Linked DNA regions of Oreochromis niloticus. Each later gene encodes a partner of the first gene's protein in a complex. Links are inferred from orthologs where the notes say so. Each region holds a gene or a part of one and is shown in the gene's direction. Other genes may lie near its edges.

Region 1 (16,751 bases):
CACGGTCCCCGACCCGTTCAGGGTAAAAAAACACAAGTACCCCAGTAATAACCACCTGTGGACCGAAGGACGTCTCATAAAATGGGCGTGTCTGTTCCAGGTATGCGCTTTCTGATTGGCGCAGAGAACCTGGCCTCCTGCTAAACAGCCTGAGCCAACGTGGATGCGTGCCGCTGAGGGCTTTAGACAGCGCTGCATTCAAGTACGGAACAGTGCGCGTCAGGGCCGTAACAGCTACTTCCTAGTGATGGGTAGATGAGGCCTCGTGAAGCGTTTCAGCACATTCTCCAAACTGTATCGATACTGTGTCGACACAGTGTTGCTGTTTTGCTCCTTACTGACACCTGCTGGACCTTAAATATCATTGCAGGGAACTTACTTGAGACAGACACTGATTCAATGACCTAGTCATACTTGTACACACTGTAAGGTATTGTACTTTCCATGGAATCATTTTATATCGTTTACATTTCAAATATTGTAGACATCTATAAAATATATTATGAATGACACTAAGTGAAAATTAAAATGAAAGTATTGTGAATGTAATATTACCCATTTAAATGTAATTGACTCAGAGTTAATTATAAATTTCTATTCAGAAAAAATAAGTTTATCCAATGTTTTTGCATTCAGTCTGTTGCGTTTTCCCCAGCTTTGGAAAACTCACGCTCACAGGCACAGATGAAGCTGGGGTACACAAAAACTGTAAAGCCAGGTGGAAAAGGTTAAGATAAGATGTCTTCCTATTCCCCCCAGTACGTTAAAGGATCCTCTGATCTTAGAATGTTTCTCTCCAACACTCTCCACAATACTAAGGGGTTGGCAGTCCTTTATAATAAAAATCAGGACTGCCTGGTCCAGAACAGTCTTCCTAGATGCTTGATTTCAAAATAATAAAACACATATTAATAAAAAAAAATGATGATAATGCTGCTCAGTGTCTACATAGGCCGACCTGTGTTCATTCTCAGTGTGTTTGTCTCCTCATTTTCATGTTTGGCTCTGTAATGCCTAAACACTGAGGAGGTGCTTTTGTTTGTGTAAGAAAGCTCCGCAGAACAGATGCAACATTTAACCTGCATAAAGTGAAATAAATAATTTACACTGCAGGTCACATTGCTGTTTTTCCTATTCTGATAGATTACACTGAAACAAAGACAAACTGTTACCTTATTTCCAGTTAAAAGATCGAAATGATCCCACACAGCAGAAACTTTTCTTTTTCTTTCGGGCTCCATTTTATTATGGAGAGATGTGCATTTTTTTTTTTTTTTATCTTTGCGAGAGTAATTTAGTTTTTTTGGGTGGCGACTCATTCCGTTGACGGATGCGGTACCTTTAACAGTTTGGAGCGTTGCAATGAGCGATACAGCGGCTGTATCGATCACGTGACTTTTTCTTAACGCGACACACGCACCGATACAGGCTTCGCTCTGTGAGCTTGATACATGCACCGGTGCGCCAGTGTTGCTGGACCCATCACTACTACTTCCAAACCTAACGGCGTGTGTAACGTGGCTCACTCACAGGTGGGCGATCCCAGCTTTGCGCACAGCGCTGGAGATGGCCTTCACCGCTGTGCACAGCGAGTTGAGCAGCGTGGTCAGCTCCCCCGTGCCTTTGGCCTTCCTGCCCTGCTCCATGACGAAGCGGGTCACGGTGACCACGTTGGTGTCGAAGGTGCTGCTGTCGGACATGGTGCCGGGTGAGCCGCTGGAACTGCGGGTTTGAGGAAACTCTGCAGGATTTAAATGCGGCAGCAACGCGGAACTGCGCGTGGACAGCCGTGGGGGGAATGTAGGCAGAGGAGAGGTGTGGCCCCGCTGTGTACACTGAGCTGTGCAGCGATGACACGATAGTGTTACAAACACAAGGATATGAGCAGAACAAAGAGAGTTGCACAAGCCCGAGTTCAGACTTTTGTTCCCTGAGAGCGACAGCCCGACACAGATACGAGGAGTGCGGACACGCATTGTTTCTGCGCACGATAGTCAGCGTTTACATTCCTCTTGCGCACATGAACTTTTCAGCGTGTTGCCCTGGATTTTCTCTTTGGAAAGATTAGTGGCTGCAGACTGTTGGAGACGCTCGCCTGCTCATTTCATACTTCTGACGAGTTTTGCAGAGGGGGGTTACGAAAGTGCCTCAGGCTACGTCCACACTAGCCCGGATAGATTTGAAAACGCTCCGCGTGCACACGTGTTTTCAGTCGTTTTCACAGAGTTGTGCGTCCACATTGAAACGGATGAAAACGCTTACGTTCCAGTCCTGCGCATGCGCAAAAGCGAGTGAGAATTAAAGAATTTGAAGAAAAGCTATCTGGAGCATGTACAGACTGATTTTCATCTTTTTTAGGGCTGTCAAAATTGAGAGCAATCAAAACAACCACTGTATAATGGACTCCGCTAGCTTTGTTTATTTGGTCACATGACTGCATCACATGACTAAGGCTACGTCCACACGTACCCGGGTATTTTTGAAAACGCAGATTTTTCTATGCGTTTGCACCTTTCGTCCACACGTAAACGGCGTTTTCGGTCACTGAAAACGGAGATTTCTAAAAACTCCGGCCAGGGTGGATATTTTCGAAAACTCCGTTTTTGCATTTACGTGTGGACGAGAAAAACGGAGAAAACACAGCGTCAAAGGTGTGCGCCTTTTTTGACGTCACAGTGTGCGCCACGTTGTTGTTTCGGTGAAATTAATTTCTACAATACTGTTACTGTTAATTGTACTCTCTGCAGTGTTTAAATGCTTACATATACACACATAGTTACTGTCCCTCCACACATACGACTCGGTTCTGCTTCTATGCCCCATCTTTGTTTACTATTTCCCACCGAGGCTTCTAGACTTCTGATTGGCCAACATTTCTACACGGTTAGGAATATAGCGCCACCTGTTGCTTTGGCATGTTCCTAGCAGCGTTTTCCTTCATTTCTGCCTTTACGTGTGGACGGGATTATTTTTTAAAACGAAAACGGAAAATCTCCGTTTTCAAAAATACCCGTGTACGTGTGGACGTAGCCTAAAAATACGTCAGCGTTTTAGAAAGTGTGGACGGGAGGCCAAAACGGAGAGAAAACGATTCGTTTTCAAACGAAAACGCATTAGTGTGGACGTAGCCTCAGTCAGGGTCTGAATGGCGAAACTTATGCAAATCAACTGAAGTCATAAAACCATCACGTCGAACGGAAGTATGGGAGTGATGAGGATCTGAACTCCTAAAACTCCAGTATGCAGAAAACACCGAGTGAAGTGAAAACGCTTCATGCAAACATGAAACTGACTGTACAACACGCTGTGAGTCAGCGCGAAGAGGCTAAAACAACCCAGTGCAGAGACATTAGTACTCATGTCCCGTATGTGGTAGTACGATGAGCTTCCAGTTAGAACAGTTTTAATGTCTGCATTGTTTTAACGCCGAGTGTGAAAGATTTTTCTAAAAGTTAGTCCAATGCTCTGATGTTCTACTTATTGTAAGAAATTCTAACCTTCCTCTTGAACACTGTGCGATTGTGACACTTGAAGATGCTGCAATGGAGCTGAAAACCATTTTTTACCACATACTGCTTTAGGGTGTAAGACTCACAAGCAAGCTGTCCATCATGTGCTTCAATAAAACCGATGAGGAAAGGAAAAATGTGATGAAGCTGCACATTCAATAAAATCCATCATGTTTAACAGTACGCCCGTTTACACGCACACATGGAAACACAGTGATGTTTGTGTAGTTTAGAAGAGACCGAGTCAGAACCATGAAGGAAATCTGATCCTCCACAAAACACTGTTTCCCAGAGTACTAACACATATTTGGGGTCACACTGTCAGAAGAGAAGAATCAGGGCTCGCAAAATCGCTAGCCCGACGTCCCGGGGCAGCGATTTTTGCAGTCGGGCTACCAAAATCTATCTCAGCCCTGCCCGTCGGGCTATCATAGGAAGGGAAAATATGTGTCAATGCTTTTGCATTTTCTTTAGCAAATGTAGCTGAGTAATTATGTTATTGGCATCGATGAGCCACTGTCAATATGTGACATATTGAAATCGCGTTTGAATTTGCGCTTGTTTTTTGCTTTCACTTTGCGATCGTGCGAACGGTGTGTAGAGAGCGGCAGTACTGATTGGTAAGTGACGATTAATTGCGCACCAATTCCTCTGACATCGTCTTATCACTCATTAGCTTACTATTCAAACCTGACAAGTGAAATCTCCCACAGCAAGCTTAAACATGTGAGAGGTTGATTGTGCAGAGAATCGCTGACCGTTATGTAAGTACGTGTGTAAAAGCAGCAGGATATATATTTTAGTTCTGCTGAGCCAAATAAGACAGGTCAGGGTGAAGAAGGGGCAGCCAATGAAAAGCCGACCACAAAACGGAAAAGTTATGACAAATCAGACTATGAGACAAAAAGAAAGCTCAGCTTTTTTGGTTTCATGGACAAAAGAATTTATGTGGCTGGAATATGATGAGCTAAATAACATGATGTTCTGCCAGGTGTGTTGTGAGTTTCATTTCATTTGAGTCGACAAGCGCCTTTGTAACTGGGACCAGTAATTTTAAGAAAGACCCCATCAGAACCCATGAGAAACGCAAGAAATGCATTATACTGCAAACGAGGCTAATCAAAAGCAGCTGTGTCCTGGGGAGAGAGGAGAGTGAGAGAAACAGAGGGGGTAGGAGTGGCAAGAGAGGAGGAGGCGGGGAAAAACACCACGCCCACACAAGGGCAGTTTCAGGAGGCCCTGTTATGTGTAGGCTGTGTTCAGACAGGAAAAGGACCCAAAGTGCAGACTACGGAGACAGACGTGAACTCAAAACAGCTTTAATGCTGAACTCAAAAGTGTAACAAAACTAAGAATACAAAATACACTTACATAGACAGAACACACAGCAAGATAAGGGTAGATCGCGACAAGGACTGATGAAAACACAGGGCTTAAATACACAGAGGGAGCAATCAGGGAATGGGTAACAGGAGGGAAACACAGCTGGGGCAAATCAGGCCTAACGAGACAAACGAAGCACAACCAGACGCATTTACATGAGACAAGGACTTTCAAAGTAAAACAGGAAACATAACACAGAGACGCGAATTTAACAAGGGGATACAGCCGACAGGGGAGACAGCAACTATAGAACACAGACATAAACCATAAGACGGAACTCTAAGAAAGAAACCAAAGACTAGAAATGATAAATAATATAATAAACTCAAAAGCCCTGGGTCAACGACCCAGGCATCCTAACAGGCCCAGCTAGGGCCATAACACCCAGTCTGCAATATCTTTCCCAGAACAAACAGCAATTGCAAAAAACATACTAAAAATAAACCAAGCAGAAGCAGAAGTCCTGAAAAATCTTTCAAAAGCGTACTATGTTGCAAAGAGTGAACCACCATTGGCCAAATTAGCAGTTTTTGCAAACTTCAAAAAGCAAATGGCCTCGATCTTGGTTCCACTCACCCCTTACCCGTGACTTCAGTGGAAATTTCAGATTCAGGATCTGACACAGACTGATTCATGGTCTACACAGTTCTTACAAGTTCATAGAAATTTCTGTTCAATTAGAACCAAGTATTTGAGTTGATGATTGTGATTTTTATACAGTTGTTGTGATTTGTATTTAACAATTTTCTGATTAATTTTTGTTTCCGTTACAATATTATACTTTAATGTATAATATTGTAAAGGAAACAAAACATTAAAAAATTGCTCTCTTTTTTATTCGGGCTACTTAAATTTATTTTGGGCTACCAAAAACTGAAGAGTGCCTGCCCGAAGGGCTACCAGGGATTTTGAAATTTTGCGAGCGCTGCAGAATGATATGGGGAACAGCTTAAACATACCTGTATATTCTACATGCAGTTGACGCCCTTAAAACCACAAAAATACAGAGAAACGCTGCTTCAAAAAGAAACACTGGTGACACTTAAGAAATTTCAGGACTGTAAATCTGCTTTTTCAGTTCAGTGCAGTGGAATAAACTCACTGAATCTCAACACAAATATAACTCATAATAATTTATTTTCACTCAGTGCAGACATTCAGACCTGGTATTCTTTACCTGACTGTTAAGGGTAATGAAAAGAGTCAGATGAAGCATTTTGTCTTATTAGTACCACAATCTTTCAGCCTTTAATCTCACGTGGCTCTGTAACACGAACCAGTAATAAAGTATACTTCACTGCTGACGAGCGCTCTGACTTCAAAGTACTTCAAGCAAAAATGATATCTGTAAACTTAAAACTGGAAACAAACACTAGGAGCTCATCACCATCTCCAGGCTTCATCTAACCTGATGAGCTGAGAGCAGGAAGCTGTTTACTTGGTGATGAGACAAAATACTGACAGTTCAGGAACAGCAAACAAGTATCAAGTGATAAAGATGACTGACTGTTTAATAGTCCTTAAGCTCTCAGCGCCAGTCCGCTGCTATCAAAGATGACCGGGATTATATCTATATCCCAAATATTCAAGAGATTAGTGAGCATGAACTCACTTCAGAGATGTTTTCCTGCGTCCAGCATCCAACCTGTAGCATCAGCAGGACATTAAACCATATGTTAACTTTCTTGGGCTTCCATATGAAGACTGTGATTGACAGATGTAGGTTTTGTAGTCGAAGGGTGAGGAAAAAAACAACAAAAACATCGCTGTATTTAAAAAAGAAGACGAAATCCAGTCACATATTAATAAGTCATATTAATCCAGTCACTATTAATAGTGCAGAACTGGGACATCTGGCCCAGTTCTGCACTAGCACTTAAACGCAGCTTACATTTGTGGGTCGGCAGCGTGAAAAGTCTCAAACCCCACCACGTGCACATGTGACGTCATCTGTGCATTTTTAACAATCTGTGAAAATAATGTCACAGATAGTTTTAGACGTTTGTCCTGCAGCACAGATAGCGTTTAAAGGTGAAAACGATCAGATTTATATACATTAAATTAAAATTTGGCGCGTAATTATAAGCATTTATTCAAATTTTGATATTTACCATTTGAAAAATATTTTTAGGTGAGATCAAATTGCTCTGTGTGTAGACACACGTCTGTGTACTCACTCTTTTACACATAAATCATTGTAGGCTGCACATTTGTAAACTGCGGTTTATGCTATTAAGCTGTATGAACTATTTGGCGGACAAAGGTGCCAACGGTGGCCGTGCAAATAGAAGATCTATATCAGGTTTAATTACAGTTATTTTCTCTAATGAAAACAAAATAACGACGTTGGCTTTAAATGTGCGATGAAAGTAAACAGTCAGATGTCAGTGCTGCGTGTTTATTGCACAGACCACATTAGATTCGGGGCTTCTCTTTGCCTCACGCTGTTAACGTCACTGGTCACAAGATGGCGCTGTCGGACAAACAGAGCCTGCGGCGGGACGCTGACTGTGCAAAGCATTGAGGATGCGTTTCTTTAACTAGTTTTTATCATTTATCTTTGAAAAATTGATAATTTTATGTACATGTTCATATTCGTGTGTCTGCGCTAGATATTTAGGTTTATTTGAAAGTGTAAGTATTTTAAAAACGGTTAAAAATGAACCCCAACAAGATTAACTGACACAGAACAATTAAAAACACTTGATATTAATGCGCCAACCGAAACGGCTTTCCTCTATCATCCCGAGCACTATATTGTATCGCGGAAGAAGAACATCTTCGTTAGTTATAGTAAGTTAAAACTATAAAATGTATATTTGTTTACGTCATTTAACTTTGTAACGTACATGTTTTTCCCCCTGTGTGGTCAAAGTTTTACGACACAACGTGCAGTCACTGGTTAGCAAACGATGTGCTAACTGCTTTAACCTACACGTTTACCTGAGTTTTAAAGCAGAAGCTGAGTCACGGAGCGCGCTGTTTGCTCTTCGTGACTCAGCTAGTGTAAGTAGGCCGAGCAGTGTGCGCAGGTAAAGCAACACCTGTGCCTCTAACTGACCTTCACATCAGCTCAGACTGGGCTCCTGGTAGGGCACCGACTGCGCATGACCGCGGGTTAACTTAGAGCTGTGGCACGAGCGGACAAGTACAAAGAGGCTGCTGGCGCAGAGGGGACGTTCCGTGTGCGGCGGGCACAGACTGCAGCTTTGCACACTTTTGCGCAAAGTTAACGCATTACCCAGCTTTTACCCTCCGAGACTCCGACCCCGAGCACAGAAAGGAGTCCGAGGAAAGGAGCTGCACCTCTAAAGGAGCCCGGGAAGCATTAGCGTGGGGTAAGTTAAAGTCGCTTCTGCTAATACAAAGTGTGTTTTAAACTGTTTCAGCTCTCCCAGGTGTCTCTGTGCGCGCGTGTAAGCGTGCACGAGCCCTCTGCTTAATCAAATACGTGAGTTGAGCGTGTCTTCGGTGCGTGTTGTCGGCCAGGTGGTCCTGCAGCGAGCAGACGAGACAATCCCATGAAGCGCTGCTGGTTAAGCTGGATTATATTTAAAGTCAGCTGGTGTTTGGGAGTCGTTCAGGTAATCTGGCGCTGTTTTTTTTTTCACTTCCGTCTGCGCCGCGCAGGTGTCATGAGCCTGAACTTTGAGCTCCAAGAGCGGGGAACCGGAGGCGAGAGACGGAGGAGGGTTTCACGGGGATTCGCCCCTCGAGAAAGGTTTCATTACCCTGCACACCCCACTCGTGATTAAATCCTCAGTGAGCCTTCTTCGCTTGGATTCAGTGTAAGTCAGGTGTCACCACAGGCTCGCGGACAACTTCACCTTCAGCTAAAGCGCAAGAACGCAGAAATGTCTTTCGTGGCACTGTTTCCACAGCCGCGTCCTCGTAGCGCAGTGCGGGATGAGCTCTTAACAACAGAGTCTCCGTGGAGCTCTAAAGGTCACTCATCAACCCCGAAATGCCGCTGAATGAAGCTAGTGTTGGGCACTTTTCCTTCATAGCTACCTGTTTTCATGCAGTGGGAAGCTGAGGCATTGGGGGGGGGGGCTCAGACCTGGATGGTGGTCCCCATTGTGCTGGTGAAGAGCTGGGGTCAAACAGAGGGCTCCTCATCCTCTCCTGGCTCACAGGCCTTTCCACTCTTCAGTAGAGATGAGGGAACTGATATGTCAAGAGGAAGAATATGAGCATTGTGAAGGTGTTTTTAATGAAATTCTTAAGCTTCCACTGTGGCACTTGTTGCATATCTCAAGATCCATTTTTCTACGCTTGGATAATAAGTGCAGATTTCATCCAGGAGGCCACACAAAGCATTCCTTCAGGACCCCGAATGCCTCGCATTTTGTGGCTTTGCAGAAAGCATCTCACTTTCTGCAAAGTTGTTTCTCAAAGCTGCTTTGTTGCTGTTTGTAGCACTGATTAACAGCTTTAATGGGGTTTGAAGGTTAGTGAGTCATTCACTAACCTTAAGGTGGTTAAAGGGTCATATCAGTGTCTCTGTCAGCTCAGGTGTTCTTTACTTCACTGCAGGGAGCTTGTTATAGTTTAATATTTTCATAAGAATAAATTGGAGATGAGATTAAAAATGTTATTTCTGGAAGCTTATTGATTTTTAATGCTCTCTTCCTCATGAAGGAAACACTGCGGTTGCACTGCCAGTGAGAATTTGGCAGACTGAGAGCCCGTCTGCTGACCAGCTGACCCAGAGGCTGCTAATATCTCAGGTTGTGATTGGCTTGCTCTCTTACAAACACATTAAAGCAGATCTGGCGGCGGTGCAGCCCGGCGTCACTTGGTACCTCAGGCTTAGTCGCGCTCCGGGTCCACATCATCAGGCGGGTCACTCGGTATCCGTGGACATGCGGTGGAGGTCTGTGAAATGACGCCTGACTGAGACGACCCTCGCGTCCGCAGGATCAAAGCTGGGTCTCATCCGCTCAGACGTGTCGCCTCCCCCGCCTCCCCCGCCTGTGATTACGACTCCCACCCCTCCTGTGTTTGTTTAGAGGAAATGACTTCCACTCCACAGCTCTGTGTGAGCAGCTTGCACGTCACGACTGGCCTCGCTTCTCTTGTGGGTGTTCAGTTTTTTTGTGGAGTCCTTGCCGTGGTGTTTTCTCTGTAATTTTATCTCGAGGGGGTTGCTGAGTTATAATTTTAGTTTTGGTTGAACATCTGTGCATACTTGTCTCCTGTTTGTGCTTCTCTTGCACGTTTTTGGTTCTAAAAATAAAGCTGCTCTGCCTGGGTTCACTTGAAAATGTTAGTGTTTACGTGCATGCACATCTGTGCTCAATGCTTTCTGTGTGAAGCTTCACTGCTGGGTAACCCTGAAGAAACCACTCTTACTGGCTGGACTGGAGGTGAAGGGAGTCGTTACAGCTGCTCAGCTTTAACGTGTGGGATGAGGGCCTACATGAGCCTCGGGGTCTGCCCTGTTATTACAAGATCAAATGTACTTTAGTTTAAGTGGATCTTCCACTCAAACCATAAGAGCCCCCTGATGCAAAAACAAGAACAGCCCAAGATGCATTTGAGAGGAGATAAATGTGTTCAGGGAGATCTTAGATAGGAGATTCCACACATAAGTAGCATGAACCTGGAGAGTCTGAGGAGGTGTCCACACTGATCTTTAAATTGCAATTTATTTAATTCTCTGTCCAGATGAGTTTGTTGTCCCTCTAAAACATGGGCTGGGAACCTTTTTGTATCAAAAAAGTTGGAGTAATGCTGGACGAGAGTCGACTGTACAGAGCCACTGAACGCACCAGCTTCTATAATGACTCACAGCTTTATTTAAGGACATAATGAAGGTGACACAGCTTACTCAGTGTCAATGAGCTTCTCTGAATCTCAACCATTCTGCAGTAAGCTATTTATAAAAATAATGAAAATTGTCTGGTTTCTGACCACCTTTACCAACAAACTGGGACCATTACTGGCTCAAAATGGAGTTTCTGGTTGGTGACTGACGCTGAAGCCCAGCTGGTCTGCATAGTGTTAAGGCAAAGAGTCATCATTGCCTTTAGTAAGAATAAGTCAGGCCTGTGTTTTTGTCAGAGAGTCGGGGAACACTGGAGATGAGCAAAAGAGCTTCAAATTGCAGTGAAGCTGCCGTCCTGCAGCCACTCTGGGCAGTTGTTGCAGTTATTCTGAAGCATCGGCTGGTATGAAACTGGTGCTGCACCTCCGCTGAGCGGTCACAGTGCATGAGTTTTGGATATAAATAAAACATTTTAAAAACACCAGTGGACGGGCTGAAATGAAAAGGCTTGCATAGCTGATTCTGAGTAAAGGCGAGCTTCAGGGAATCCTAACAGATTTCCAGCAGCTCGGAGCAGCTGCCAAGTCGGCACCACGCTGTTTGCAAATTTGCAAGGAAGTTATTACCGCGGTGATCAAAGCTCTGGCAGGACTGCACGAAATTCTTTTTAAATCAGTTTTTGTGGATTTAGCAGCTTAATGGAGTCAGAGAGGCCTGAGATGGATTGGGAGACATTTGTGTGTGTTGGCACAGATTGTAGAGGAGCCTGTGAGGTGTGTTGGACTGATACTTAAAGCAGAGGTGAGATTATTTCTTTTCTTCTACAGCTGTTTGGTATCTGGGGATTATAGCATTAGATGCTTCATTGTTTGGTTGTAGTTTTACATGGATGACATGCAGCTGGAGTTATTCTGCACAGCCAACATTTTGGGTCCAGTCTGGAACATAACCTCTGTGTATCTGTTGATCTCTAGTCTTGAAGATGAGCTGCTCTGTGGCAGGTAAGGGCTGAAACATATGACGGTGAGATACCGCAGTAAGAAGTGAATCTCCTTCATCACACAGAAAACCCAGGATTAAATCTAAGGTTAACTTGCTGAGGCCCAAAGGCTGCTTCAAAGAGCCCGCCTCAGAGCGAGCTGGCTAACAAAGGCTGAGTGAGGGGATTGTCTGCCTCTTAATTTGAATCTTAATTAGGATTCCTAACTTTGGGGCTGGTTTAGAAGCAGCCCGACGAGGCTGAGGGTAAACTGCTTCTACCTGCAGAGATTATGAAGCAAACCAGGTGAAGTTGTTGTGATTTTGAATTTCACTGACAAGTTGCATAAGAACAAGCGGACACATGAACTATCACGATGAATGTCAGCGGTCCGCCAAAGAGCCTCGGATAGTGTTTTATCCCTGTTGTTCCGCCTGCCGATGATTCATTTCTGCATGCTTCAACTTGCGAGATTCTTGTTGGGTAGAAAATTGTTGCGGCGAACATGAAGGAGTGAAGGTTTTTGCTCTCTGTGGCTGGGATTAACCCTGCCTAAACCTCGGAGTGCGTTTCACAAAGATGTTTTGTTTCCTGGTATGTTAATCCTGTTCTTTCTTTCATGCTCCCTCACAGTCGTCACGTGCTCTTCGTATCACAGACGATCAATAAGGGATCGTTGACCTCTGACATTATGAAATTAAGAGTTGAAATGAGCCGTTCGTGTTTTTGTTTCTCTGGAGCAGCTTCGGCTCCTCGCAGACCTCGTTTCTTTAAACCACCTGAGCTGTTGGGACAGCAGCCGATATGTGACGGGTGTTGGTGTCAGCCTCGCTTGTGTTGGCTGTGAAAAACTCCATCTTTGCAGTGCTAATGGGACCTTTTGAATTAATGATGTGCTGGGAAGACGCCCTCGTGGAAACGCACTCTGCCTGACGAGACTTGCAATAAATGATTGTTTTTAATTTTCACTTTGATGGGAGGAGTGATGGTGTGTAGAACTTGAGGCTGAGCGGGAACACCGTTACACACCAACCCTCACGGGGGAAGGAGATTATTGTTCCAGTGTAGAGCTGACGCCTCGCACACTGATCCAGTGTGGGATTCTGGGAAATCAGTTTTCAGCTTGCTCATCTTAGTAAATGAGTTTGTTCTCTAGTAACACAACAAATATTTCAGGGCAGGTATAAATGTTTATTACTCCAGACACGCACGTGTTTGTGGATATTTCAGATCAGTGCAGGCGTGTCGTGTAAGAATCTGTTAACCTTCTTGGATAGAAACAAATGTGACTTTGACTTCATTTGGACCTGTCAGTATTAAAAAACTTGAATAAATGTATAAGGAAATCTTTGGATTATAAAATAACTGGAGGGTTTTTTTTGTGTTTTAAGAAAAATGACTAAAAACCCTTTTTTATATTAAAATAAGTACAAGTAATTGGGTGGCATTTGTCCAGTTTTTCTCTTATCAAGGTGAAAATTTGAATATTATTGATATTATGATTTATATTTATTGGAGCAGAACAAAGAATTGCTAATAAAAATCCAGGTAAATGGTCATAAAATCAAAATCTGAATGATGAAATACTTTAATATAGACTTGTTCAGGTGGTCGAGGAACTTTTTGTTTACCGCATATAGTCGGTGACTTAAGCCTTTTTTCTTAAACAACGTTGACATCTGTCCATGAAGTCATGCTGTCAGTTTTCTGAGCAGATAATTCCCAGAAAAGCTCTGAAAGTTCAGCCATTGCTGACCTTAGCAAACTGCTCCCTGACCTGCACCGTCGTGGCTTACAGGTGTAGCACGAGCACCTGCAGCAGGTGGAGAACTGGTTCATGTGCTGGTGAAGGACTGTTGCTAACTTCTCTCCTCGTATTCACAGAGACTTTTTTTTTCTACAATATATTTCATAATTCTTTGAGGAAACTTTATTAAAACTGAAAGTAAGAACTATTGTCTGGTGGATCAGGTGCTGGGAGTTGACTCCCTTTTGTGGTGCATATAGATCAGAAACGAAGGCGTCCAACACACGAGACGAGCTATTAGCCCGTCGTCTTGTTCCAACCACAAAACTCTGGAGCTGCAGACGGGGAGCAGCGGCACATTCGACTCCTCTCTGAACCAAACATCCTTTGCTCTGCACGTCAGGGGGAAGTGTCGCTTCTTAAAAACGGCTCAGCCACAGCCTGTCATTATCCTTTCAGAGCTGCTGATGAATGAAAGGTGAGCAGTCTGAGAGGAGGGAGCGAGAAATCCCACACGTTTCTTGTGCATTAAGCAGGACAAGGCAGGTGCAAAGGGGATTCAGGGCTCAGTTGATACTGTGATAATCCCTCAGCTATGCAGGCATGCACAGACTCTGCTTGTCAAGTTGAAGCATTCCACAGTACGGGGGTCTGACGACCTGCTGATTAGAGATCCAGCCAGATGTGCGCGGGACACATTCAAGCCTCGTTTATTTACATACAAACCTTAGTATGAATTTAATACAACTGCCAAATGTCTTAGTTCTTGGTTCATTGTTTTGTTTTTGAGGTAAATGGATGATGGAGATGTTGACTCCAGCTCTGCTTTTAATGCCTATTTTTTGTAAGGACAAATCCCTTCAGTATACAGTAAAGCACTTTAAAATACACCATAGTGCTCATTAGATGAGTTTTGCAGCTTTATTTTGCTTGACAGGCCTCAGTCTGAATCTCCCATCATCCTCTGCAGCTCAGAAAGGGCTGTTGAGTTTGTTCCCTGTCAGGGATGCTGCTGTTTACGGCCGAGAGCCTCGGCCCAGTGGTCACCGTGCTGCTCATATTACAGCCTCCCTCACTGGCTGCTATTGTCAGGTTACTTTGTGTGTGTGTTCAGCGTTTGCGTGGCCGGGCTGCGATTGGCTCTGCTGTGTGAGACAGCGCCGGGTGACGTCTCTGCTGTAATCCCTCGTTTCTCTCTGGTAGTGCTGGCTGCTCAGTGCCAGCTGCAGCTCTGTGAAATGCTTTTACAGGAAAACTTTGAGGTTTCTAAATCCTGAGGAAGGAAGGTGAGTAAAACAAGGTGCAGCAGTTACTAATACAGCTGTTGTGTTATTATCATTTTATTTATTTAAAGTTGCGTTTAGTTTCTAAAACTTGCTGGTGCAGGTTTTTAAGTTTGCATGGTCACTGGGAGCAGTGGATGTTATATTTTATTGGATGGAGATGTGGGGCAACAGGAAACTTGAGTCATGGTGGTAGTTATGGTTTGGGTGTTGGGGTGTGTTGTTGATGTAAGCATCTGATCCATGGTTTGGAAAGTCAGGTGAACTTTTAACCTGGGATTGAGTTCAGATTTAAACTCTGATGTTGGTGCACATAAACTGCTCAGACGATCAGAGACCTGCATCGTGTTCTTACACTTTTCTCTTCTCACATGCAGTTACCATTATCTGTAATCTGACCAGAACTTGGATGCTGATGTGCGTGTAAACAAACTCACTGTTTGTTCTTTCGAGCGATTATCCAGGAGGAACAAAGCGAAGTCTGAGTGTGTGGAGATGCCGCCGCTGTGTGACTGCAGCTGCTCGGGAGATAAACCTGCGTTAAACGCTGCTGTTGTTGCTCTGATTGCTGAGAGCACGTAATGTTAAATGCTGCAAAGTACGAGTCATTCACTTGATCTGCTTGTTAGTGTGAACCGGTTCAAGGGTACAGCCGTGGTTTGCTGGGCGGGGGGTTTGTCTGTTGTGTCTACAGCTGCCTCTCTACACATTCCTGTTCTGAAGCTCTGCATCTGTCTGAAAATGAAAGTTTTGGCATCTTTAATGAGACGCAGGCTGATACGACTTGTTTTTCTAGGGTGCTTTCAAAAACCAACCTCCTCCTGATCACTTGCAGAGTGATGCTGTGTTCAGTCATGTGACCTTGTGGTTTTTAGCATGTTTTTGAACTGATAGATGCACTACACAGTTGCATTGTGGCCTCACCACAAGAAGTGGTTGTGGACAAAAGATGAGATGAATGAAGGCGGTTAAAGAAAAGCCACGAGGACTTTATTTCTCTACAGAGTGTTGATTCAGGATGACCAGAGTCACCAAAATTGTGTGATAAGCGTTACATCGGAGTCCACATTAAAGCTTGAACAGTGCTCGAGTTGTTTTTAGGGTCAATACAGAAGTAATCAGAAGTGAAAAATCATTCACGAGGGGAGAGCTGGTTACCTCTCTGCCATGTCTCCATCTTGTTTAAACTTGGCAACAAGTACTTGAGTACCAAATGCAGAAAAGCATAAAAAGGAGCACAGGTGAGAAAGTGAAAGACGCAGCCCTACTTGCTGGTACTGTGTATGGAGGGAAACTGTTGCATTCATTTATGCCTCATTTAAATGTGATGTGTAGAACACGGCCGACAGTCTGTGGAGCTTCATGTAGTTTAAGAACAGGCGAAGATGTGGGTTATGGATCCCCCCACACAGACCCTGCACAGCAGCTGTCCTCTTGGCCTGTATCAGGTCACTTTATCAGATCTACTGTAATTGCAAGCTGCCGACCCAGGCAGGAAACTCTTTGTATGCTTTACAGACTTGTGGAAGTAATCAGCTGGACACTTGGGAATTTTTTTGCAGCGTCACAAATTGTGGCAGTTTGTATCACAGATGGCAGCCATTTGTGCAAACCTGTAAATCGACAGCGAAGTGCATCAGTGCGAGGAGCACCTTCGGTCCAGTACAGTAAAGTCTTTCAGGCTGTAGTAACAGACTGTCGTAGAGGTCATTGCATCAGTTTCAGGAACTTTCCACAGGCAGGTGACGATGCTCTGAGGTGCTCCGTGAATATAGAAACACCTCTTCAGCCTTTCATAAAAGCCGTCTGTGGTTACATGCCTCTGATTTGGTGTATAAACACCGTCCTGAAGGAGGTCGGGCGTTTCTCTGTAAACTGTTAAACTTCAGCAGTAAACCATTTCCTGTTGCGGTCAGCTGGGCTTTGTTTACAGTGGAGATCGACTCCCTGCTGGCACCGTTGATCTTATCTGGGCTGGTTAATGCAAGTTCCTGTAGCACAGCACATGGGCATGTTTTAATACGAGGCTGCACTTCCACACCTAAGCTTTGAAGTGGGGACGAGTATCGATGATAAATTT
Region 2 (16,386 bases), on another chromosome or scaffold:
CTTCTAAGTCCCTGTTAGTACATTAATTAATAATTAATAAACAAATGGATTTACCTGGTTACAGCAGGATGATTATGTTAGTTTAAATGAATCAACACCCCCGAGTCATTCTAACCATCAGAAACCTCGAAGCACAGGCCGAGGGGGTGGTGTGGCAGCAATCTTCCACCTCAGCTTGTTAATCAACCAAAGACCCAGACAGAGTTTGAATTCATTTGAAGGCCTGATGCTCAGCCTCGTCCAGCTGGAAAACTCCAAAACCAGTCTTACTTGTTGTTATTTCTCATCCACCTGGGCCTCACACAGAGTTTGTCTGAATTCTGGTTGATGTTGTTTTTGATAAAGTGTGGAAACGCCTGGCAGGGTGTGCGGCTTATCAGCAGCCGGGTATAACGAGCTGCCAATTATGGATTAAGGAGCTTTTTTCTTTTGCTGTCATGTTATGATGGTAAAAAAACTGTGCTGAGTCCTGTCTCTGGCTGTGCATGTCCCTTGCTGCTCACGTAGTAATGGTCTGTGTAATCCCATTACTACGGATGATTTTCTGCCATCAATCAAAATCATTTTTTTCTTTTTCAGGTCCATTTTTTCAACAGCTTCTTTTACGATAAGCTAAGGACAAAAGGCTACGAAGGAGTCAAGCGGTGGACAAAAAATGTAAGTGAATGCTGCCAACGTACTCTGAGTAGTTTAGCAGCGTATTAACACTTTATATTAATATGCAGGAATAAAACAATGAGTGTCGTTAGAGCTGGATGATAAAAGAGATTCATTCTTGTCTTTAAAGTACAATGTAACACCAATTTATTAAGGTGGCCTAAATAATTCAGACAGCTCATTCAGACAGTTGCAGCTAAGAACTTTCTGACCATCAGTAGCACATTTCAAACGTCATGACAGGCTGCACAAGAGTGGAAAACGTGTTTCATCTGCTTCGAAGAATTAGTTTTTCATTATGTCAGTACATAATATCAGAGTCAAAGAATCTATACGACTCTGTGTGTGATGCATGATTGTATTGGGGGGGGGGTAAACGGTTCAAAGATCATTGTCAGTGATGGTGGGCATACTGGTGACACTGAATCTCTATGTTACACATCTGGTAAGGTGCTGTTATTAGTAATAATCATATATCAAGAAGAATGGGGAAAACTCTCTGCTTTCAAAACTACACAGATTAGTTTTCTGACTTTACTAACTCCACAGAGGTCTTGAGCCCCCCCCCCCCCCCCCCCCCCCCCCCCCCATTTCTTTAAGTCTTTGCTTCCAAGGAGGAAGACCTGAGTGGTGTTGAGCAGTAGTGTTTTTCTGGGGGACTTAAAGGATGAAACATTGTCACAGTTTTGAAACAGATTATTGGTTCTGATTTCTTTGGTTTGTTTGAACACTGCCGTGTAGTTCTGTCACCAACACGGTGAATCCCAAAGAGCTTCTACCTGTAAACGTCTGCAGATGTTAGCATTGTATGCAGTCTGTCAAAGATTTCAAGAAACTGGACAAGTGGAGGACAAAAGTAGTACTAGATGTAGTAAATGTATATCTAAAGGAAATAAAAAATAAATAAATAAGCAAGGAAAACTGTGACAACAAGCTGAGGAGTGCCAGACAACTCAACAACTACGCTAAAAATTGCGTCCAAATGTGAAATTTTAGCTTCAGATTGTAGATGAACAGGAGAGGTGCAGTAGGTGTCTCATCTGTAAAACACAGACTGCATGTCAGCCAGCTCAGGATCTTCTTAAACCTGAAGTATTTGTGAATGCAGAAGAAACTGAGAGTTTGCTCCACCATTCAGTTCCAGCTGGAAAGCATCTGACAGCAATGATGTCAAACACAGCTAATGCAGCAAAGCCATACCTGGATAGAAAAACAATGAAATGGCGTCAGTCGTGGAATGACCTAGCTGGGGTAGCGCCCTCAAGGGGAGAAGGGAACAAAAGGGAACAAAAAAGAACTTTGGACTGATCTTTATTCAAACCCAGAAGGTTTTTACTGAAGACTTGAATGAGTTACACAAACGTGACCAAGGAGAGTTCAGGCTGGTCTCACCAAATGTATTTTGCCTTAGATTTCCATGCGTGTGTTTGCATGTTTCGGTACATTTCTGACCATTTTCTGATGGCTCAGTGCTGTAAATGTCAGTTTGCTTCAGTTTTAACTTTCAAAGAAAGTTGTGACATCAAAATGAAAATGAACATATATTTTTCATGTCCTGGTTTCTGTTTTTTAGATCTGACTGTTTGTGTCCTTTTTTCATTCAAACATGTCGTTTAAATACTGCACACATGTAACAAAGCCTGAACTCTACACAGCTCTGTCTGCTCTGTGCTTTGGCTTTAGGCCATACGCCACTGTGGTTCAGCTTTTTTAATTTGGTATTTACTGACACTTCCAATGGAACATTTTCATCTTCTCTGGGATCTTTAGTCAAAAACAAGGCGTCAGACTGACTTTGTTGAGACAAAAGTCTAGTTTGTATTTCAATTTTGTATGTGCTTTATGGAGAGTTCATCCAAAACTGAGTTGTCCAGTCCTCTTTCAAACTTCAGAGGTTCTTTGTTACAAAATAAACTTAAGATGTTTCCTGTATAGTTTCAGATAGGCATGTTCTCTTTACATGGATACTGTTACAGCTTGTTACAAACTCCTGAAAGGAACCGTCGCACTTTTTAGTGTTTGAATGAAAAAAACAATCAGCTTTATACATTTAGTTAGCTGCTTCTCCAAATTAAGATTTGAAAGTCTGGCCCAGTTTTCATGAGAATAATAATATAAATAACACAATTACAATTTATTTTTTCAACAGAATATTTTTTTTTACATTTGAATTGTAAGTGTATATCCACAGATCCACTTCATTTATAAATATAAAATAGTTTTGGTTTCTAAAGCTCATCCTAATATTATACACATAGAAGACACATCATCATTATGCAACCTTGCTATCTGATGACTAAAAAGATCCCACGACTGTCTGGAGATTAAAGTTTTACTTACAGTTTTGTATTGAGATAAAGCGTGCCTCCGTTTCTGTTTGACCCTGATCATCCAGCTGAAACATAACAGACAGCTCTGTTGAACAAGGATATGCCCGTTGCACGTTTGTCTTGTTCACAAGTTTTAAGATCATCAAACATAATTAAATATTAGAGATTATTCAGTCCTGCTGCATTACCCACCTGTGTTTAAGCTTACAGAGTGACCTGATGGTTGGTCAGAGTTCATGTTTGAATCAATTACAGTCGTCCAGGTGCTGAAGCAGCAGAGCAGCCATGGACATTACTCCAGCCCCACCTTGCTTTATTAATATATCATTTTTTTAATATTATAATATCACGTTATGATATATTATCATATTCAATGCTGTTAGTTTTACACAGAATATTCTCAAAAAAGATATTCGATCATCAAGGTGTTTTGGGATAAATGTGAGAGGGTAAAATTAGTTTGATCTGAAACGTGTAACAAATATAAACCAAAACAATGAAATGCTTGCATGTGGTTTATCTCCACTGCCTATAGAATCCCATGGAAAAATGTTATGACAGCTTTACTCATCTGCTTGTCTTAATAGGAAGAACATACTTCTCACACTGTTAGCGTCTGGCTTTGTTTGGTTCATAATTGAATTTGCTCTTGGCTAGCAGCCGCTACGCCGCTTTACAAGCTTTTCCATCTCTGTGTTAGTTACATTGCTTAAGACCACATTAGGAGCACAGCTGGCTTAGTGTTACAGGGTGGGGGGCATCGTAACATTGAAAACTAATAGCTTAACCAAGATTTTTGGTACATCTCAAACTCTTGTGTAATCCATTTATTTCTATTGACCATAGGTCGACATCTTTCAGAAGGATCTGTTGTTGATCCCCATCCACCTTGAGGTCCACTGGTCGCTGGTCAGTGTTGACATTCCTCGTCGAGCCATCACCTACTTTGACTCTCAGAGGACTTTGAACAGGCGTTGCCCAAAGGTAGGGATCAGGAAGCTTTTGGAAAAGAAATGAGTGGATGATTGAACAGTTTTTAAAGAAAGGTCAGTGGGTATAGATGCTTAGTAAGGTTTCTGTCAAAATGATTAATGGTTGCAAACGAGCAGCTGCATGATATTTCTGTTAGCTAATATTGTTGCTTTTAAAAAATCTTACTATTGTATAACGCTACAAATTTGTTGTAAAAGACCAAAGTTTTTGTCTTCAGTTGGGTTGTGTTAAACCCAAATGTTGGGGTCCAAAGCTGCTCCTCTCTCTGTCCTGCCAGTGATTCAGTTGCTGATAGGAGAGGACGGGCTGTCACACATATAGTCTATTCAAGAAGTCCATTCATTGTCATCCATGAATATACTGCTCAAAGTCAGAATCTCTGTTTTTGGAAATTGCTGCAGTGTCTTTGAATGTGTTCATTTTGATTCCAGCACATTTACAAATACCTGCAAGCTGAAGCCATCAAAAAAGACCAGCAAGACTTCCTGACAGGATGGACCGGCTTTTTCAAAATGGTAAAAGGATTTTTCTTTATACCACTTAACAAAGCTCTGGTGAGACTTTAAGTAAAAATGATACGAGAAGCAGACTTTAGTTGAATTGGTACCATTGCTAATGCTAATGTATTTGTAATGTTGCAGAATGTGGGCCGCCAGAACAATGACAGTGACTGTGGGGCTTTTGTGTTACAGGTGAGTTTTCTGCATTGTGCATATAAATGAGGGCTGGGTGATATGAAGAAAATCTAATGCCGCCACATTTTTGGGGGCTGTATCGTGATACACGATATATATTGATACATCTTGAGCAGCAAAGGGGGTGGGCTGCAGTTTAAGTTTTTTATGTAAATATCGACATGTGTGGTATCCAATGAAACTTTCAAGTCTCAGCCACAAGCTCATAGAAACCATTTCTGCAAACAGCCAAAACAACAATTAAAAGAGCAGTTACGTCACTTTGCGAAATGTGCCTAAACACAAACAACGAAGCCAAACACTCACTCGGCTTCATGTAAGCAAACGTCACATTGTCTAACAGCAGAGGTTTCATCACTCTCTTACCAAAATGAACTGAGCCAGCAGCAGAAGGCGGCCACGAATATGCTTCAGGAACGATAAACAATAACATGGACTCTGTTTCTCTCAACAATAGCCGTCATAGCTCAAATCACAGCTGGTGTATTTAACGTTTCCCTTGGTGTGTGGGGAGATGCTGACATGCCGAGTTCGTTCGTGTTGTTCGACATCCTCCTCGTGAAATCCAAACGACAGCGACTCTGAAACTCCCACTGTCGCCATATTATTCCCCATCTGGTAGCATATAAACACGCATGCTCAGCGCAGTGTGGCGGGTAGAAAATTTTCCAGCTAGGAGGGGGGATTGATGATGCATTTGCAGCGTGCGGGAACCTACACTCGATGGTTACGATAAAAGCATTTTAACCATCGTACGTGGACAAACTTGCGATACATTGAATATACTCGATATATCACCCAGCCCTAATATAAACACGAACTCCTGTTGTTGAGAGCTAGCCGTGGACAGTTTGGATTAGCCTCAGTTTCACTTCTTTATAGCATTTATGAGGGGAACACATGTACCTACTGCATAGATGGTAACTGCCACACATCAGGTTGTTTTAAATGTGTTTCAGTATCTGAATCTAACCCTGACCCTTCCTTTTCTGCTATCCTGCAGTACTGCAAGTGTCTGGCACTCGGGCAGCAGTTCAGCTTTGGGCAGCAGGACATGCCCCGCCTCAGAAGACAGATGTACAAAGAACTGTGTCACTGCAAGCTTATGGTGTGACCCTTACTTTCCATCCTTTGTGGCCAGCTACACCTGCTCCGTCCCTGAAATCTAACAGGATGGAGGGACAGTGTTAAAACAAGAGGAAAATGGGAGCAAGTGACTGGGGGAAAATAAACATTACAAACCTAACTTTTTCTCTTCCACCATGCAGAGAAATTCTTCTAGATGCGAACATTGTTTGACTTTATTTTTTCTGGTTTTGCTTCCCTCGGTTTGTTTGAAAAACACTGATTTAAATATCATGTCATAGTTCTTTGTGGTTGTGAGAGGCCAAGACTAGCCATCTTATTTTGGGGATGGGCTAGTTATCCGTGTAAAGATAGTCCACTAGTTTTCTGGTCGGAGAGGGAGCACTGAGGTACGGAAAAGCCTGCGTCCAGGAAGTATGAAAGGAAGTCCCACAGTGGAGTTTGTGTTTAGAGGGCTGCAGTGACTTTTCCATCCAGCCAGTCATTACTTGACATCTTTGCAAAATGAAACGTACCCCATGCTGTGGCCACCAATATGGACGAGCTGTTCAGCACAAAATGTTTTCCAGTGTATTACAGTGTGAAACTTCCATGTACAATATTTGTAATCCTTTCCTGCAGCCTGCTCAGCTGGAGTTCAGTGGGAATGCATGGTTATGTTTGCAGGTAAAACTTTTTTCTGGTGAATCTCAGGGAAAGTTGGATTTCTGCAGCATCCATGAATCCCACCTCATACTGGCCCACACAATAGAGACTTTCCCCCCTCGATCGCTTTCAAGTCATAAACCTTCAACAGTTTGTGGGAGATTGAACTGAAATGGCTCAAAGAAGTATATTTACAATGCATTTAATTTTTTAACGTGTTTTATCTCTGTCAGTAATTGTGGTAATATGTTTGGGTTTCATAAAAAAAATCAAGAAAAAAGACTTTCTTTTTTTTGTTGTTGTTATTATTATTTTTTCATTTAGAGATCTTCTGGTTAGTATTTCTTTGAAAAAGCCATTTTGTTGAGGACCACAAATACACAACAGGCATAATATGTCCACAGTGGAGATACAGTGCTCTCTTATTCTTTTTATAACAAAAGAAAATTTGTGAATAGTTGTTTTTGGCTTTGCTTTTTTTTTTCCCAAGAAGGAGCTGATGCAAGAGAGCTGTTTTATATATCTTCTACAATACGTTATGACTGCTAAAAATAAAAATATGTGGCAAACGTGTGTGTGTGTGTGTGTAAGTTTTGACTCGTCCAGATCATAGTAATGGAAGGACTACTTTCAGTTTCTTGAAGACGTTTCGTCTGAGAGTCAGTCCCACATTTTTAAGCCCTATTGTCCTTAAGAGGGCTGTTGACCCTCTATTGATTCTCTGCATAATCACATGAGCCAAGGTGTGAAAACGGGTCAGCCAAGGTTTCGGGTGAACCCATTGTGAGACCTTGCCCCCCATCATGTGACTTACTGAGGTCAAAAGGCCCAGGATGTGAGTTAAGGCGTCCGGGAAGGATCTCAAAGCTCGATCGTAGATGGCAGACGGTGTCGGTGTTCAAAGAGGGTCGTTCACTCCTCTTTCAAACCTTTGTCCAAAATGTGGACATTGGCATTCTTGAAAGAGTGTGTTTAACAGCCACACAGATACAGACAGCTATGCAGTCTCCACTGCGATGCACTGTTCCATATCAGCTTTTCTTCCCACTGTTTCTCCCTTGGACCACTGCAAACAGGGAACACCCCACAAGCTCTGCAGGTGTAATTTAGTCCTAGTCAAACTTTCAAGTCTCAAACAGCTTGTGGGAGATTGAATTGAAATGACCTGTTGGCTCAAATAACTATATTTACATTGCATTTCATTTTTTCCTGTGTCTCTGTTAGTAATTGTGGTAATATGTTTGGGTTTCATAAAAAAGTAAAGTAAAAAGAGGATCTCTGTTTTGTTTTTGTTAAGAGGTCTTCTTAGATCATTTCTTCAGCTCGTCACATTGTGGTTTGTTCCTCGTAATAGTGATCTCAGTTCTGAACAAGGTTCTTACTGCGCTGTGGCTGCACCAAACCAGACTCTCCCCAATGCTGTTTCCTTTCTCCGGAGAAGCTGGGGTGCACTGCTGACGGTCTTGAACATGCCGCTAAACTCTACTAACTGCATAAGTCTTTGCACAGTTGGATATTATAGGATATAATGCAGTCCTATATTGATTGCATCATCCACAAAGTACAAAGGGGGCCTTACAGTGACTACTATCAGGATGTGGTGGGTGAGGGGTCTGAATGCGTCCCTCATTAACCTGCAGTATCAGGTTTTCAGCCAGCTCTTTGTTTGCAGAGGGGATGGTTGCAGACCCTTTCACACTGATACCTGCTGTAATGGGCGCTTCGATCACTGCCACAACACCTTTTCACAGTCCCTTTCTAACGGCTGTTAAAGTGAAGAAAGCCTCTGCAGTATTTTCCTGAGTGATAGGTGTCGACACTCAGACAATACATAAGCACCGATATAAGAGAACAAGCCAAAACCAAAACCCAAGTGCTTTTTTTTTTGCAGTCCACATGATGTGAAGTCAAAATCGGCCCCATACAGAAAAGCAGTTCATATCTGATGAGAGAATCCACCAAGAAAATGCATCGATCTGTGTAGAAAGTGGGTGAAATTTTGCTCACAAAGAAATTAGCAGGCTAGTTGTTTATGGTAGTTTAATTTTAATGGAGAGAGACAGAATATTAGATCCAGAAATAAAAAACACATTAAACGAAAGTAATAAAACCTAATTTCAGAGCAAATATCTGAATGATTCTCAGCACATGTAGAGACTAGAAACGGTCATGGTAGTTCTTCATATACATGATAAGACATGGCACTTAGAAAGAGAGAAGTTCTAAACCAGGTACAGATGCCACATTATTGTCACTGGGACAATGTTCAGTTTAATTTCATGGTGTCATTTTGTGGTTATGGTTTGTTTCACATGTTTCTCTAAAGCCTTAAAAAGTACTATTATATAAATGTGTTTTTCAAGCTTTATTTATTTATTTATTTACATTTATGGAACTAACCTACTGCACTCTCATCAGATTTTTCCATCATCCAGATTCAGTAAAAAAATTGAGATAATCAACAGAAATAGTTATTTTTAACCCTAACTCTTTCCCGTGATAGAGTATGAATACATTTAAAGAGCAGTGTGTTGAGTGATCCATGCATATTACGCACAAGACTCATCTCTGATAGGCTGTAAATACTCAACGTGATGCTGGAACATTAAGACATTACATGACCCAATTAAAAAATTGCATTTATTTTTTATTCGGCGCTTGTAAATGTCTGAGGAAAGCAGCGGGGACACACCTGGGCAGGCGGACTGAAGAAACCCGGTTGCGTCACCAACGGATTCCGTAAAAACTGAAACCCCGCCTCTTTGGCTAAAGAACTCGGGCACGAGCGTGAATTACGAGCATACTGTAAACGAAACGGTCCGCCCCATGGGTCTGCTTACTTTTACATGACGTAGAGCTCGTCCAATCGCAAATGCCTGTGGGCGGGACCACAGCTAAGTGACGGTGAGCTTTTACAATGAGAAAGCCTCTTTGTGCGCATAACCTATATAAGAGATTTCTGCTGCGGATTCTTTCTTTGAAATAATGTCGGCTGAATATGATAACAGGTAAGGAAGGCTACTTTTGGTCGCATAAATTGTGAGTTCTAGGGCTTATTTTCACTTTCAATCCGTCATATTTTTACTCGATGTTCTCAAGAATGCACATTTTTAACGGAGTTTTGTAGTCGAGTAACATTCGAGGACTTTTTGTCTTAGATGAACATTAGGACTCTTCGCGTTTCAGGAGACGAGTGTGAAATAAGATTTAATGTTTTAGATCGTTAAAGTCATGCTAGTCAGAAGTTATATTAGTCTTAATGCTTCAGATGTGAATACTGACTGCGGTCGTTATCGGCATCCGGCGACAGCACGTGAACAAGCCTGGTGTAGGCCTTTAAAAATTCTTCCTCTTTTCATTTGTAGTAACTTGATATTGAAGCCAAAAGATCGGAACTACGACACTTTCGGGTGTAATACACCTGATTGACCTTATTTTGTCTGTAAAGGTGGATTAATGCTGTTTCGTGGTGTTCGGTGGAGTCACATGGTCTTAGTACGGATGGTCGGCGTTTTGAACAAAGGCCGCTTTAAGGCCGCTGAAAATGGACGTTTTTCCGCTTACACGCGCTGCATGTGGTGGAGCTGTACGCTGCCTTCACAAAGCGCTGTGCCTTACGCGTTTAAATGAACAATTGCTTTCGCCGACTTTGTCAGTTACAGACTAGCAGGCCCTGTTGCTAATGGCTAATGCGGAGCAGGCCTCGGCGGCAAGCCGCGAGGCTTCTTCTACCGCTTTCCTCTTAGCATCGCGGTTAACTCTAAACGATCCGTTCGCTTTGAACACAAAGATGTCGGAGTTTGTCGACTAGTCGGCCACATTCGACGTGGCGGCGTTTCCTCTGTAAAGCGTCCTCCCGCCCCTGACTCTTCCTCCCCTGAATGGAGAAACGACCATCTTGATTGTATGTAGCAAAAATGGCGGCCTCTCCACAAGGCCTCGCGTCACAGCACAAGGGGCGAAGGCTTCTTTTTTCACGCCAAGTTTGGGAAGAATGATATAACGTGGAGCCTGGTAATGATTATATCAGCACGTATACTTAAAGGGGGATATTTTTGTGCTACAGAAGATTTTATTTTTATTATCATTATTCGTGGGCAGAGGGGATTTAGTTCATTATGGTCATTTACAAGTGTAGCTGGAAAGCAATGATAACCGTGAGTTTCTGTCATTCACAGAGACAATGGCCCTGAAGGCATGGAGCCAGATGGGATCATTGAGGTAAGTGTCTCATATGAAACTCCCACAAACACTGATGTTCTTTTCACAGCAGTAGGTTCAGAATGTAGTTAACTGACCTATGTGGGACTCTTTCTAACCTTTCCAGAGCAATTGGAACCAGATTGTGGATAGTTTTGATGAGATGAATCTACGGGAGACCCTGCTCAGGGGAATTTATGCCTATGGTTTTGAGAAACCTTCAGCTATCCAGCAAAGGGCCATTATGCCTTGTATCAAGGGTAAGAGTGCTTTCAATATGTGATACTGTCTGTTTCTAATACTACTTAGCAGTTAACATTTCCAAGAATTCCCTGGATACTAAATTGCACATGTTTTAATTTCAGGTTACGATGTGATTGCTCAGGCCCAATCTGGCACTGGGAAGACTGCCACCTTTGCCATTTCCATCCTTCAGCAGATTGATGTGGAGCTGAAAGGCACTCAGGCTCTGGTCTTGGCTCCCACCAGGGAGTTGGCTCAGCAGGTTGGCTTCCACACAGCCTCTCCCAACACTTGTGACATATTGTGCAATAGCATCTCTCATATAGCCTTTTGCATGGCTTAATGTCTGGTCTTTGACTCAATCTCCAGATTCAGAAAGTGGTCCTTGCCCTGGGTGACTACATGGGCGCCAGCTGCTATGCCTGCATTGGAGGGACCAACATCCGCAGTGAGGTCCAGAAACTGCAGGCTGAAGCCCCACACATCGTGGTGGGAACTCCCGGCCGCGTCTTTGACATGCTAACTCGCAAAAACCTTTGTAAGTCTTCGTGAGAGGGAGTTAAATCCTACTTTGTTTGAAATTTTGTTACTATAAGGAAAGAACATTAGTCTCTTTGGTCACTATGATCACCTCAGAGGTCAGTTATCGCTTTCACCCCACATTGTAGTCTTCCTTCCTGTGTCTGTTCCTGCTTGTATATGATAAGTGCTGTATAATGATGAAACCCATGCGTGTCAGCTGACACTGTACGTCCCTGCTGTGGTGTCGCTTTGGTCGGCGTTCTGCTGGCTCGAGCTTTCATGACAGCAGGGTCCCAGAGGCATGATCATACGTTCATTACTTCTGAATACGGCACCTTTACACCCGAAGACACTTCATTACTGAAACCTCATTAGTGGCACGTGATTCCTAAACACAGTTCCATTGTATCTGTGTGCAAACATGGATTTAACTGAATGTGTTATGTGCCCATATGATGTGTAACATGTTCCTTTTTTTGCAGCTTCTAAATACATCAAAATGTTTGTGTTGGACGAGGCTGATGAGATGCTTAGTCGAGGATTCAAGGATCAGATCTACGAGATCTTCCAGAAGCTGTCGAGCAACATCCAGGTTGGAGAACACTCGTGTCAGCGCTGTAACGGCCGAGTCAAAGGTCCTGGCTTGAAGTATGGAAAGGGCCTGTAGCTGACAGATATCTCTGTAAATCTCTTTAAGGTTGTCCTACTGTCTGCCACCATGCCAGCCGATGTTTTGGAGGTCACAAAGAAGTTTATGCGTGAGCCTATCAGAATCCTCGTGAAGAAGGAGGAGCTGACACTTGAGGGCATCCGCCAGTTTTACATCAATGTGGAAAAAGAGGTGAAAAACATGCACTCGTTTTCCCTGTGATCAGGGTGTTTATGCTGAGCTTGCTGTGCTAACGGTCTGACCTGGTGGTCCTCAGGAATGGAAGCTGGATACCTTGTGTGACTTGTACGAAACCTTGACCATCACACAAGCTGTGATCTTCATCAACACAAGGAGAAAAGTGGACTGGCTTACTGAGAAGATGCATGCCAGAGACTTCACAGTTTCTGCTCTGGTACGAACCTCTTTGTCTTTTATTTGTGTGATGTGTGAACACGTACACGTGTGGAAAAACCTTCGGTACATGTTGTAAGATTTCATTACGTCTTTTCAGCACGGTGACATGGACCAGAAAGAGAGAGACCTGATCATGAGGGAGTTCCGCTCGGGCTCCAGTCGAGTCCTTATTACCACTGACCTGTTGGTATGTAACGGCTTCTTTAGTGCTGTTTGCAGTCCAAGGTTCCCTCTCCTGCCAGCTGCAGTGTTGGTAAAGGACTGAAAGTTCCTTGGTAGAGCAGAAATCTGCCCTCCACTGTAGCTGGGTTGAAATCCCTGACTCACAACTAATTGGCAGATTACACTTATTCCTGTAGAACACCTGAGAGACTTCTGAGTAAAGGTGTGGTGGGTCATAGAAACTGGACCCACCACCTAAAAAAGTGGGGTTAGCACTTATTGAGGACATGAGTGCACAGAAAGATCCAGGTGTACCACAGGTGTCTGAATAGAAACTGAAGTATTTATGTATGGCCTAATTTTAATTTGTAGATGGACATAAAGACCTGGATGAGCTCTAATTCAGGTCAAACTGAGGTTATTGTACTAACCAGATTCGTACTCTGAGTGGCATTACCTTGGCCTCCAGTAACACTGAGGACCAATGTTTGACCAGGACATGTCCTTCAACGCACATATTAAACAAATATGTAAGACTGCTTTCTTCCATTTGTGCAACATCTCTAAAGTTAGAAATATCCTGTCTCAGAGTGATGCTGAAAAACTAGTTCATGCATTTATTACTTCCAGGCTGGACGACTGTCCCAAGTACTCCCTGAAAGAGTACAGAGTGTCTTTCTCCTGCACTGGCTCGCTGTTAGAGCCACAATTGAAATTGTGCCATGTAAGTAAAGGTGTTTGTTTCTTCTCAGGCCAGAGGTATTGATGTTCAGCAGGTTTCCCTTGTCATCAACTACGACCTGCCAACCAACAGGGAAAACTACATCCACAGGTGAAGATATAAACCGTTTATAGACATGATTGGTTAATTTTGAGGTTTGCAGTTATTCACAACAGGCAAATTTAACTGCTATAAGACAACTTTGGCGAAATTGTTACGTGGCATGTTAATCACATGACCCTGAAGTTGCATTTATTGTAAAATGAAGCGAGCACTTTGTCTGACGTGAGCATAAGCAGTAAACCCAGAGACATTCCTGTGATTTGGACTAGTCCACATGTCTACAGTGAACTTAATCACCTTTTTGTTTTTGACAGGATCGGTCGGGGAGGTCGTTTCGGCAGAAAGGGAGTAGCCATTAACATGATAACTGAGGATGACAAGCGAACACTGAGGGACATTGAGACATTCTACAACACCACCGTGGAGGAGATGCCCATGAACGTGGCCGATCTGATCTAGAAGACTCCCCGCTTCTGTTTGTCCACCCATATCCGATTGTTTTAGAAGTAAAAGCTTGTTTCCTACAATACGAATACTAAAAACTTCCTTTTCTAAATTCCACCCTGAATTTACTCTTTCAGCATTTGACATGATTTTGGAAGAATAACTTGCTGACCCGCTCCATCTGCCATTGTCTTTTATCGACCCTGAAATTCTCCCAGCGGTTAAATACTCTGCTTCACGCCAGAACTGTTTCCAAAAGCACATTTAAAGTCCAGTGATGACATTATACTTGCTGATTGTTGGCAAAGAGACACTGTTGATTTGAAGCTTGTGTGAGATTTGACTGTTTGCAGCGTCGGTCGGCTGACCCGAGCAGTCTGGACTCGACGGTGTTCTGAATGAACCGCGGTGTGATTGACTAGCTCAGTATTTAAACAATCTTCAGTGTATTTGCACAACGTTCATCGCACGCCCACGATCATGTTTACAGCAGTCTTTGGGTTCTGGAAGTAAACGGGACATGATCAATAAAATGAGCTGTACAGTGGCTGACCAATTTGATCCTCTTTACTGCTGTGCTTTTTCTGCTTTTCCTCCTCTCTCATTCGGGCCTGTTCAGCCATTTGTACAGTAGAGTTCAGATGAGGAGTGCTTGCAGGCAGAAACGGTGAGTTGTAGCGATTTGGCCTCCTGACCCAGATCCAAGCGGGTTTTTGGTTTTGTTTTTTGTTTGTTCCCCCCACCCTCCATCTCCAGTTTGTTGAGATTGGATTTTTTCTTTTTTTTTTTTTTTTCTTTTTTTTTTTTTAAACAGGAAATAAGATTTCAAAAGGTTGTGGTCATGTTTTGTAACCTACCTCATCCAAATCTTATAGGTGAATGGGGAGTGTCATCTGGACCAAACTACAAATATAAAAGTATATAGAGATTTTTATCTTGCTTTCCACTCCACCAAAAGTTTCTAAGCTCTCGTATTATCTCATGAGGTGTGTGCTATCAGTGCTAATATTTTTTTTCTCCATGTATGGATTGTTCCCCTCCCCCCCTCCCTTTTTTTTTTTTTTTTTTTTGGAGACAGTGTATCAGGTTTTCTACATTGGATACTGTATAGTATTTATTTTATTGGTCTTTAAAAGAAAAACAATAAAAACATTCTTTTCTTTTTTCTTTTTTTTTTTTTTAAAGCTGTAAAGCAGCCCTCTGTTGGCCAAATCCTGTGTGGTGTCTACTTTTGTGGCAAACCTCACTCAGTGAGGTGGGCGATGGAGTGGAGCAGTCATTGTTAGAGCTGGAACTCTTATAATATTCACATCTTCAGACACGTTTGTGTCGGTGTCTGCGTTTTCCATCATTTATTTTCCCCTTGTCTTTTTTCCCTCCCAATTAAAGAGAGCTCATAAAGAGCTGAATCTTCATTAAAAAGAGTCACAGCTCTGAGACAACAGAAGCATTATAGGACTGAATTAATTTGCTTTTATTCAGATATTTGATGTTTGTGTGAAAAGGTGTGGAAGCTTGACCCACACGACCGTGGGTGCAGCAGCTAAAGACCGTACCAGTTTACTGAGGCCACGGCTGGTTGATGGACTCTTGCATAGAGTGCAATTCTTCATAATAAAGTACTAAACATGTAACGCCATAAGGCATGTCTATGATAAGGTAAAGATACACGTGTGCATTTGTAATAAAGCTGGAATATAAAATGATGAAATAGAAAAGCATACAGTGTTTTTCCTCTGAGCAAATAGAAGCTTTGTGAGAAGCAGCCTCGCACCATCCGCAGGTTCTTCAAAACTGCAGGAGGCCATCAAGTATATAACGTCTCCGTCCACTAGAGGGAGACGTCGATTCAGCCTTACTGACATCATCAGCCCTGTACTCTCTGTAGCACACATGCACACTCTTGTGGATTTGCATGTTCTTTCTCTCCCAGCCTTCTGGAGGAGCGACAGTTTATCCACAGACTGATTTCCAGCTCACAGGCTGAGATGTAAGATAGAGAAATGTTAGCCCTGTGATGGCCGGCCAGCCTGTTCTAGCTTCCCGTAGACCCCTAATCGTGTCCGCACACCCTGAAAACATGATGCAGATCTCTACTTTGTGGTCTGCTTCTCAGGTTAGGTGGTCCCTTTTCCAAAGGCGCTGTTTGTGGTGAATATACCCTGTGCCCATCCCCCAAATGCCACATGCACACTGTGGGTACCAACTCGCTCCCTGTTGGGTGTTGGATCGCAGGGTTGAGAGATGGTGGGATGGGGTGGGTGGATTATGTGAGTGTGAGGCTTGTAAAAAGGCTGCCATGGTCTTTCTTTGTGTGACGGATGGCTGGGAGGCTGAACGGGCCTGTTTTGCATGATAAGAGAAGCCAGCGTAGGGAAGAATAGAGGTCTATTCAAGCCCTGTCATCCAAATCCACCCTCCTGCACCAACCCATCACCCACCCCTTCATCATCCATCCCTTCATCATTGCATCCCTCCTCCTTTCTTTTCACCTTCATTTTCTGGCCTTCCCTGTTTTCATTGGTTATTTCTCCCCCTATAAATCTATAGCCTTTACCC

The links.
Region 2: the proteins of kank1a (region 1) and eif4a1a are in contact, whole or in part, in a crystal structure (PDB 7DDX), measured with the Mus musculus proteins. The link is inferred for Oreochromis niloticus from reciprocal best matches to the Homo sapiens genes KANK1 and EIF4A1. Residues at the interface, in NP_852069.4 of Mus musculus: Gly1168, Asn1169, Asn1171, His1175, Tyr1176, Val1178, Asn1201, Lys1202, Ala1203, Tyr1205, Met1209, Leu1210, Leu1213, Ala1214, Ala1215, Gln1240, Ala1241, Leu1248, Ser1251, His1252, Arg1254, Asp1273, Glu1274, His1285; in NP_659207.1 of Mus musculus: Lys99, Val140, Arg141, Val144, Gln145, Lys146, Leu147, Gln148, Met149, Glu150, Ala151, Arg168, Arg169, Tyr170, Ser172.

Annotation. Positions count from the first base shown.
Region 1 is NC_031977.2:35,884,729-35,901,479, reverse strand, and holds the start of kank1a (KN motif and ankyrin repeat domain-containing protein 1a), read left to right. Parts: upstream 1-7,959; 5' UTR 7,960-8,230; intron 8,231-16,751. Other genes in the region: fbp1a (fructose-1,6-bisphosphatase 1a), read right to left, coding at 1,531-1,976.
Region 2 is NC_031967.2:1,644,729-1,661,114, forward strand, and holds eif4a1a (eukaryotic translation initiation factor 4A1A), read left to right. Parts: upstream 1-9,273; 5' UTR 9,274-9,391; coding exon 9,392-9,414; intron 9,415-10,584; coding exon 10,585-10,627; intron 10,628-10,733; coding exon 10,734-10,866; intron 10,867-10,971; coding exon 10,972-11,111; intron 11,112-11,218; coding exon 11,219-11,387; intron 11,388-11,560; exon of another isoform or gene 11,561-11,701; intron 11,702-11,853; coding exon 11,854-11,963; intron 11,964-12,068; coding exon 12,069-12,212; intron 12,213-12,297; coding exon 12,298-12,435; intron 12,436-12,534; coding exon 12,535-12,624; intron 12,625-13,351; coding exon 13,352-13,431; intron 13,432-13,697; coding exon 13,698-13,842; 3' UTR 13,843-14,397; downstream 14,398-16,386. Other genes in the region: senp3b (sentrin-specific protease 3b), read left to right, coding at 580-657, 3,834-3,971, 4,412-4,495, 4,622-4,672, 5,679-5,789. UniProt on the Homo sapiens protein: ATP-dependent RNA helicase which is a subunit of the eIF4F complex involved in cap recognition and is required for mRNA binding to ribosome.